Linked DNA regions of Mus musculus. The protein of the gene in region 2 binds, or shares a complex with, the protein of the main gene of each other region. Links are inferred from orthologs where the notes say so. Each region holds a gene or a part of one and is shown on either strand. Other genes may lie near its edges. The genes, in order: Eif3e and Eif3d.

Evidence for each region.
Region 1: Eif3d (region 2) and Eif3e share a complex: the UniProt entries of both Homo sapiens proteins name them as parts of the eukaryotic translation initiation factor 3 (eIF-3) complex. The link is inferred for Mus musculus from reciprocal best matches to the Homo sapiens genes EIF3D and EIF3E.

Annotation. Positions count from the first base shown.
Region 1 is NC_000081.6:43,262,184-43,266,005, forward strand, and holds part of Eif3e (eukaryotic translation initiation factor 3 subunit E), read right to left. Parts: intron 3,443-3,822; coding exon 3,318-3,442; intron 1,153-3,317; coding exon 1,026-1,152; intron 518-1,025; coding exon 416-517; intron 1-415. UniProt on the Homo sapiens protein: Component of the eukaryotic translation initiation factor 3 (eIF-3) complex, which is required for several steps in the initiation of protein synthesis.
Region 2 is NC_000081.6:77,964,013-77,967,834, reverse strand, and holds part of Eif3d (eukaryotic translation initiation factor 3 subunit D), read left to right. Parts: intron 1-395; coding exon 396-532; intron 533-1,067; coding exon 1,068-1,153; intron 1,154-1,624; coding exon 1,625-1,697; intron 1,698-2,819; coding exon 2,820-2,932; intron 2,933-3,682; coding exon 3,683-3,815; intron 3,816-3,822. UniProt on the Homo sapiens protein: mRNA cap-binding component of the eukaryotic translation initiation factor 3 (eIF-3) complex, a complex required for several steps in the initiation of protein synthesis of a specialized repertoire of mRNAs.

The DNA.
Region 1 (3,822 bases), about 35 Mb from region 2:
TCCACTGACTGCTTGGTTTACATATCGAATTCCAGACTTGCTCTGAAAGAACTTTATTTTTAACTAAATAGGAAAATTTAGGTATAAAAACATAACTGTAATAAATTGCTTAGTTTATATGAAATGTTAAATTTAATCTTTTCTACAAGTAATTCCATCTATAAATAAGGGGACCACATTTGTGGTATGCATGTACATATGAACCAGATTAGAGAAACAGAATTAAGGAGAATCAGATGAATTCAGATAGCTGATGTTTTAATTTCTGTAACCTAAAGGAGACAATACCAACTAGGTGTCTTCATTCTGTCAATAATATACCATTTAGTTTATTTTTTCTTATTCAATTACTTCAATACTTTACTACATCTTGAAATTTAAGAATATAAATTGCTTAGTAAAAATTCATACTTACTGATTCACATTCTCTCAGCTTTTTCTGAGCCCCGTCAAAATCAAAGTTAACATATAGGCATTCAACAAATTCTGTAATTGGGTCTTTATATGTGTAAGACTCCTAAAAAAGTAATCCAAATGTCCAGTTAGATCTTGTTAAGCACTGTTTAACATAATGCCAACTCACAGCTAATCCAATATCATCTTCTCAAAGCACCCAATCGAACCCTTACCTCAGATAACACATTAAGTTTGTCACATGTCCAAATTATAAATGCATTCTTAGATTACATCTGATTTCTTGGGCTTTTTCGGTGTTTTGTTTTATTTACAAGTGAGAAGCTCCATAAGCCAAACTTCAGGGGCTTTTGCCACATTAAGATAATGGTCACCATCTGGAACAGGCAGCAACTCCACAACCCATCAACAAGCAGCTCCACCAAGCACTAATCACTCATACCATATTGGTCATAAGGACACCTATGATTTTGCAAAAGTAAGCTCAGGGCTTGCTAATTTCTCTCTAGTTTCATGTAGACTTCCCTCTCACCTTACTTATTTTCCCCTAAGACCTACCCCAGCATTTAGAGATCACACCTACTGTCTGACTGCTTTAAGTTTATTTTTACCTGTTGAATCACTTTCACCAGATCTTTCAGCACCTGCCGGCGTTTCCGCACATCTTTGTTGGTTATGACGGCAGTAGTCAAATAGCGTAGAATATGTGGACACATTGTCTGAATTGCATTAAGATACCTAAGGTAAAAATACAACAGTTACTTAATATTCACTAAATTCCCACAATTTTTCATGTATATAGTTCAGTGTGAACTAAAGAAAACATCTAACATCGTTTAGCCTAAGAGTGTAAGCATTTAAGAATTACATTTAAGTAGTACGAGAGAATAACAACCTGTAAAATCAGCAGAATCCGATGACAAGAAACTCAACAACAGTACCATCACTATTGCCAATTAGGAGTGAGCTAGAAAACTCACGTCAGGAGCCTAGGAAGTCACTTATCATTGCTCCATAGATGTTGGAAGGTCTTTATAATCAGTTTCTTAAACTCAGTTTTCTTGCATAGATTCTTTTAACTAAATATTGTCATCAATTGACAAGCATATGGGAGCACTTTATTGCTTACACAATTCAGTTAAATGGTCTTTAGATTGCATGTGACGACATTACAGCATCACTTTCAATGGAACTGGGTTGAATGAATTTAGAGGCATGGGACTTTCCTTTGTGCGTGCAGTGAGGACTGCAACATCCTAGAACTGCAATGTGACTTAAAAGTATCTGTCACAAATTCCTGCAGCTAGGAACGTCTGCTTCTTGTTTTAACTTTTGACAGAACGGAAAATGTACAAAGCTGCAAGTTCTGATTCATACCATGCTGTCATCTAAATGACTTTACTGAAACATAAATTTTACATGAAAGCACTGTTTCACTTTGAAATTTCAGACTGAATATTAGACTGCACAAGTGAAATTTAATATCATGCAGCATGTGACGACAGTAGTAGCCTAAGGACAGCCATAACTTAGAAGACATCTACCTTCTCCTAAGCAAGTCACCAGAGCCCTGACCTGAGCTATCAAAGCATCCTAGCATCCAACAAGTTCACTGGTTGTGTATCTTTTCTGTTGAACTAAAAACACAACCGAATCCCGGCTGATGGATGACTTCTCCTTGTTAATAAAACAACTAAAGGGAAACTCTGTTGAAATATCACTTCCATTAGTCTTTGTGAGCAAACTCTGATGTGATGTAATGTTTTAAATTTCTTAACTTTCTTCTAGTTGTTCTCCAACCAGTTGAGAATATTTAGTGGTTGTAGTCTGGTGATGAAGATATACCTACTAGCATAGCCATACTACAAATTCAATGTTACACATTTTAAATCAATTCATTTCTATTGTGCCTTATAGTCACAATCTATCTCTTTATTTGTTGTAACATGAATATGTACACATGTGATACACACACACATACACACACATATATACAAACACATATCCTAATATCTGAAAGATTTGAAATTAAAGATTTGCTGAGTGTGGTGATATATCCATGATTTGAAGAAAGATGATCAAATTTTAGGTAAGACTGAGGTACATAAAAAAACTTCAGTAACATAGGGAGAACTTTTAAAAAATAAATAAAAAATAAAATTAATTCTGGCCAACAGAATGGTGTCATTCACAAAATTCACTGAGCAGTGTGCCCATTTCTTATCAACCCAAGACAAACCAAAAGCTGAAGACAGCAAGTCAATACAAAAAAGATTTTCCCATAATATAATCACCCACCTCTCCTTTTTTCCTTTCCAATAATTTAGCATAGGCCTTTATTCCTTTATTCCTTACACTTGAATTTACAATCATCCCTCTGTATTGACAGATGACTGGTTCCAAATGTCAAAATCTATGGCTATCAAAGTCCTTTATAAAAAGTAAGATATTGTTTGCATACACTCCTGTATAACTTAATCTCTAATTACTTGTAATATGTAATATATAGATTTGTTTGCAGTTACTACTGTATTATTTATAGAATGATTACAAGAATAAAATATCTTTACATATTCAGTAATGATGGAATTTTTCTCTCACAAATGTGTAACCCATAGAAATGAAGACTGGCTTTGTACTAGATAACGGAGAACCCTGAGAATTCAATACAAACTGACTTAATCCTCTACGGTAAGCCCTGAGTCTACATGATATCTATATTGTTAGTTCAGAGACCATTCTTAAGAACAATTCGGAAGGACCTACAGTAACAGCTACACATAAAGCTTTCCAATTAACAAACACAAGCACATGTGCGCGCACACGCGCACACACGCGCACACACACACGTACCACATAAAAATCATATATCAAAAGTAAAATTAAACAATGATGTAACTTACTGTGGTTGGTAAAGGAAGAGATCAATAATGTTATCACGGCCCTTTGGATGGTTGAAAAAAACAAATAGAGACCAATGAATGAGCCATGTTCGCTGCTGAAGAGACTGGAGTGGAGAACTCACAGACTGGAGGATTAAGAAAATTACACAGAGGAAATATTAGTATATGAAAAACAGACATGCAAACAAACACCAATTTCAGAAGTGTAACTAACTACAAGGCTCTACTCTAAGGCGATACTAACCATATTTTATGATAAAGGCTTGAACCCATCCAAAGATGTTTTAAAAGCAAGGACAGAAGCAAACAGTCCTTAATTAGTGGGTGGGAGGGTGACACTAACTGGGTAAAACCCGTCTTCTGCAATAACTTTCTGCAGTAGGAGGCACTGACAGGGCAGTATCATTTTCAGTGCCACGGTAGCTACAAGAGTCAAACCAAGTGTGAGCACCTCAAGGTTAGGGAAGTTATCCTCCAAGTGAGTGTTCAGTCAGGGCAGAACCAC
Region 2 (3,822 bases):
TGGATGAGGTCCAAAAGAGGCTGTCGGGGTGGAAGGCTGTGTCCGCAGCTCTGGGTGATGGCTGGGGTGGTGGTACAGCTCAGATTCTTACATGACCACGCAGAGGTACAGCGGGGTAGTGGCATCCTTGGGCTCTTGGTAAGTTGTTTAGACCCAAGCTCTTAAACCTTAAATGTGAGTGTGAATCATGAATCACCTGAGAGCATGTTTAAATACAGGTTCCCATCTGTCAGGTCTGGGCAGGGGCGGTGAGTCTACCCATCTCACAAGCTTCTGGCCAGTGCTTCAGGTCAGGAGCACACTTAGGCGAGTGGGGTCGAAGCCTGGCATGCACCATGAGCACGACACTCACTGTGTAGGTAGCACTTAGCACACACTGTCACCTTTGCCTGCAGACAAGTATTCCTCTCAGTTCGGTGGGGGAAGTCAGTATGCATATTTCCATGAGGAGGATGAGACAAGCTTCCAGCTGGTGGACACGGCACGGACACAGAAGACCGCCTACCAGCGGAACCGGATGAGATTCGCACAGGTAGGCCACGGCTGGCAGCCCACACTCAGCTCTCACTGAGAGCAGAAGTTCCTGCTGCTCAGCCGCCATCTTGGGAATACTGATGAGAAAGGAAAGGCTTACAGACCTTTGGCCAATCCCAAGTGGCAGTTTAGTGACCAGTTGTGTCAGAATAATGTGAAACGGGTCTAGGAATACATTGAAGGAGTTTAGATTTTTGTTCACAGTAGTTCAGACATCACACAGCTGTGCTGGGAACCCAGTGCCTTGCTGACTTGTCATGTACAACCTTTGTTAATTACATGGTTTGGTAGGGTGCCTCCTGCTACATAATGTTGCAAACTTTGCAACTCCAATAAAACTAGTAAACCCACATTAAAGTGGGAATGACAGTCCAAGCTAACACAAGTGCTACTCCCCTTAGCCCAAATTCTGTAGTCGCTGTAGAGTAAAAGTAAAGAGATGTGAAACTTAGAACTCACGCCGTAAACTTACTCTCAAGATACCATGAGCCTTGTCTCCGAGGGGCTAACATGGGTCTCTTCCTGCTCCCCAGCGCAACCTCCGCAGAGACAAAGATCGGAGGAACATGGTGCAGTTCAACCTACAGACCCTGCCCAAGAGTGCCAAGCAGAAAGAGAGGTGAGCGTCCCTTCCTGCCAAGTCAGAGTTATGTTCCCAAATGGGCTGTACTCAAAATCACAGAGCAGGGCAGGGACTGGCTATCTTTCACTCTTGAAAAAGAAAGCAAAACCTCCTCACCTATTGCTGCCCAAGACTGGGCAATGGCAGACAGACAGGAGGTGGGTGAGGCGGACATTTGAAGTGGCTCTGTGGCCTCTACATTCTGGATGCCTGGTTTCAGGCAGCACCACTTATGCTATATCCTGTGGGCCCTTGGGGCTGGGCACAGCAGCCACTGCACCCTAGCCAGGGCTGCCATGGGAGTAACTGGGCTGAATGCTGGTTGATACTAGTAGTGCGCCTCTGCTCGAATCCCCAGTGTGTTCTACATCTAAGCCCCTATTTTCTATCCTGGTAGCAGCTAGGAAGGATGATGCGATTCAGCTAGAAGCCGACACTGAAATCACAGCATTTTGTCTGTCTTTTCAGAGAACGAATTCGCTTGCAGAAAAAATTCCAGAAGCAATTTGGAGTGAGGCAAAAATGGGACCAGAAGTCACAGGTAGTGTCCCTCTAGGGACTCTGTGGGGACTTGGAGGGGTTTGTTTTCTTTGACCTTGAGAGATGTCTCGGGACTCCCCTGATGCCCGCGGGCATTTCATGTACAATAGGATCATACTCTGTGCCCTTTAGTTAGTGTGCCACTTTTAAGATCATATCGCAGCCCGTGTTAGCACAGTCTTTTCACTTTTCCTTCATGTCTGTTAAGGATTGGTTCCAGGTACCCTCAGAGATCAAGATTTGTGTGCACTGACCTTCTCTGCATGTATCTCATGTGTGTCCCCTCGTGGACTTTAGCTTGCCTCTGGATTATATATTTGGGTTGAAAGTATCATTTTAACTCTCGGGTGATCCTCCTCTGTCAGCCACCCAGTAGGTGGGATTTCCAGTATGCTGAGCATCCAAGAATTTTCAGTTTACATGTGACTGGTTATAGACCTGCTGGTATAAAGCTCACAAACATGGAGTCTTTTTGCCCAAGAGTGGTTTTTTTGTATGGGTTGCCACATTTCCTTCAGCCATTCATCTTTCCACTTTGGCACTGTTAGGTATAACACTGCCATCTTTGTGGGAGCTGTGAGCATAACAGACATGACCAGAAGTGGAGTTTGGGCTAGGAGTGTTGCCAACAGCAAAGCAGCTGCTTTTCGGGCACAGAATCGCGGCTTCACTGCCGAGTGTTGTAGGGTGATAAAGTCGTGAAGGTGCAGGTTGACTTAGCTGCTTGCTGTATCGGGCGTGTGCTTGACACCCTGAGAAGCCCCATGCTGAGGCCCTGCTTCCTTCTCTGAGCTGCCAGGAGTCACGGGCCCTGCTTAAAAACAGCCAGGACCAGACTAATGAGATGACTCAGCTTTTTAGAGCACTGGCTGCTCTTCCAGAGGTCCTGAGTTCAATTCCCAACACCCAGGTGGTGGCTCATGCCCATCTATAAAGGGATCTGACGCCCTCATCTGGCCTGCAGGTGTACATGCAGCAGAGAACCCAGAGATCAAATAAATACAATGAACTTAAAAAAAAAAAACATCCGGGACCATAATGATTGAATGAAAGCCCTTCCCATGTCACTCTGTCTTTTGCTATTTGCGTAGGATATGAAGATCTTCCTGTGTTTCCTCTGCAGAAACCCCGAGACTCCTCAGTTGAAGTTCGCAGTGACTGGGAGGTGAAGGAGGAGATGGACTTCCCTCAGCTGATGAAGATGCGCTACTTGGAAGTGTCAGAGCCTCAAGACATGTGAGTAGCTTCTTCCCTGGTGCCCACCCTGTTTCAGAGTCTGTCTGCCTGCCAGGGATCAGTGTCTCCTTAAGTCCTAGCAACTCCAAAGCAGATTTGAAGCCACTTACAGTGCTATGGACTGGTGGGTATGTTTTTGAAAGATCAAGACCCACTTTAAAAAATGCATTGTTTACTAAAAAAGTCCCAGTTTCTTTCCACTTTTGGCATCCGAGAAAAAGCCCAGTAGTTCAGTCACTAAGCTCCTGCAGCAGGAGAGGCGTGACAGTTGTTCAGGAGACTCCATTTTGTGTAGCATCGTACACTAGAGGGCAAGGACATAGAGCTAAGTCAGTGGAGAGCCAGAGCTTCAACCCAGAAGTCGATCTATCTGGGTGCCTCTATAATGGGCTCAGTTTCCCAGGGAAGGTTCACTGTGTAAGGTCTTTCCCTGTGTTCTACAGAGGAACATTGGGAGCTGCGAAGACAGGAAACTAAACTAACACTAAAGATTTGTCTCATTTTCAGAGGGATTAATGCTGTCTCTTTCATATATACTGAACTTCTGGGTGAAGTTTATTTTCTGAGATGGACCCTCCTGTGTAGCTGAGGTTTTTTAATTTGCCATCCTCTTGCATCTGCCTCCCTAACCCTGGGATTGTAGGCACGCACCCTGCAGTGCCAGGCATGCCAATAGATCTGACTTCCGATTCCATGGCATAAAAGAGGAAGAGGATCTCTGTGATTTTTTTTTTTCCCCTCTCCCCGCAGCGAGTGCTGCGGAGCCCTGGAGTACTACGACAAAGCCTTTGACCGCATCACCACAAGGAGTGAGAAGCCCCTGCGGAGCATCAAGCGCATCTTTCACACCGTCACCACCACAGACGACCCTGTCATCCGGAAGGTGTGCA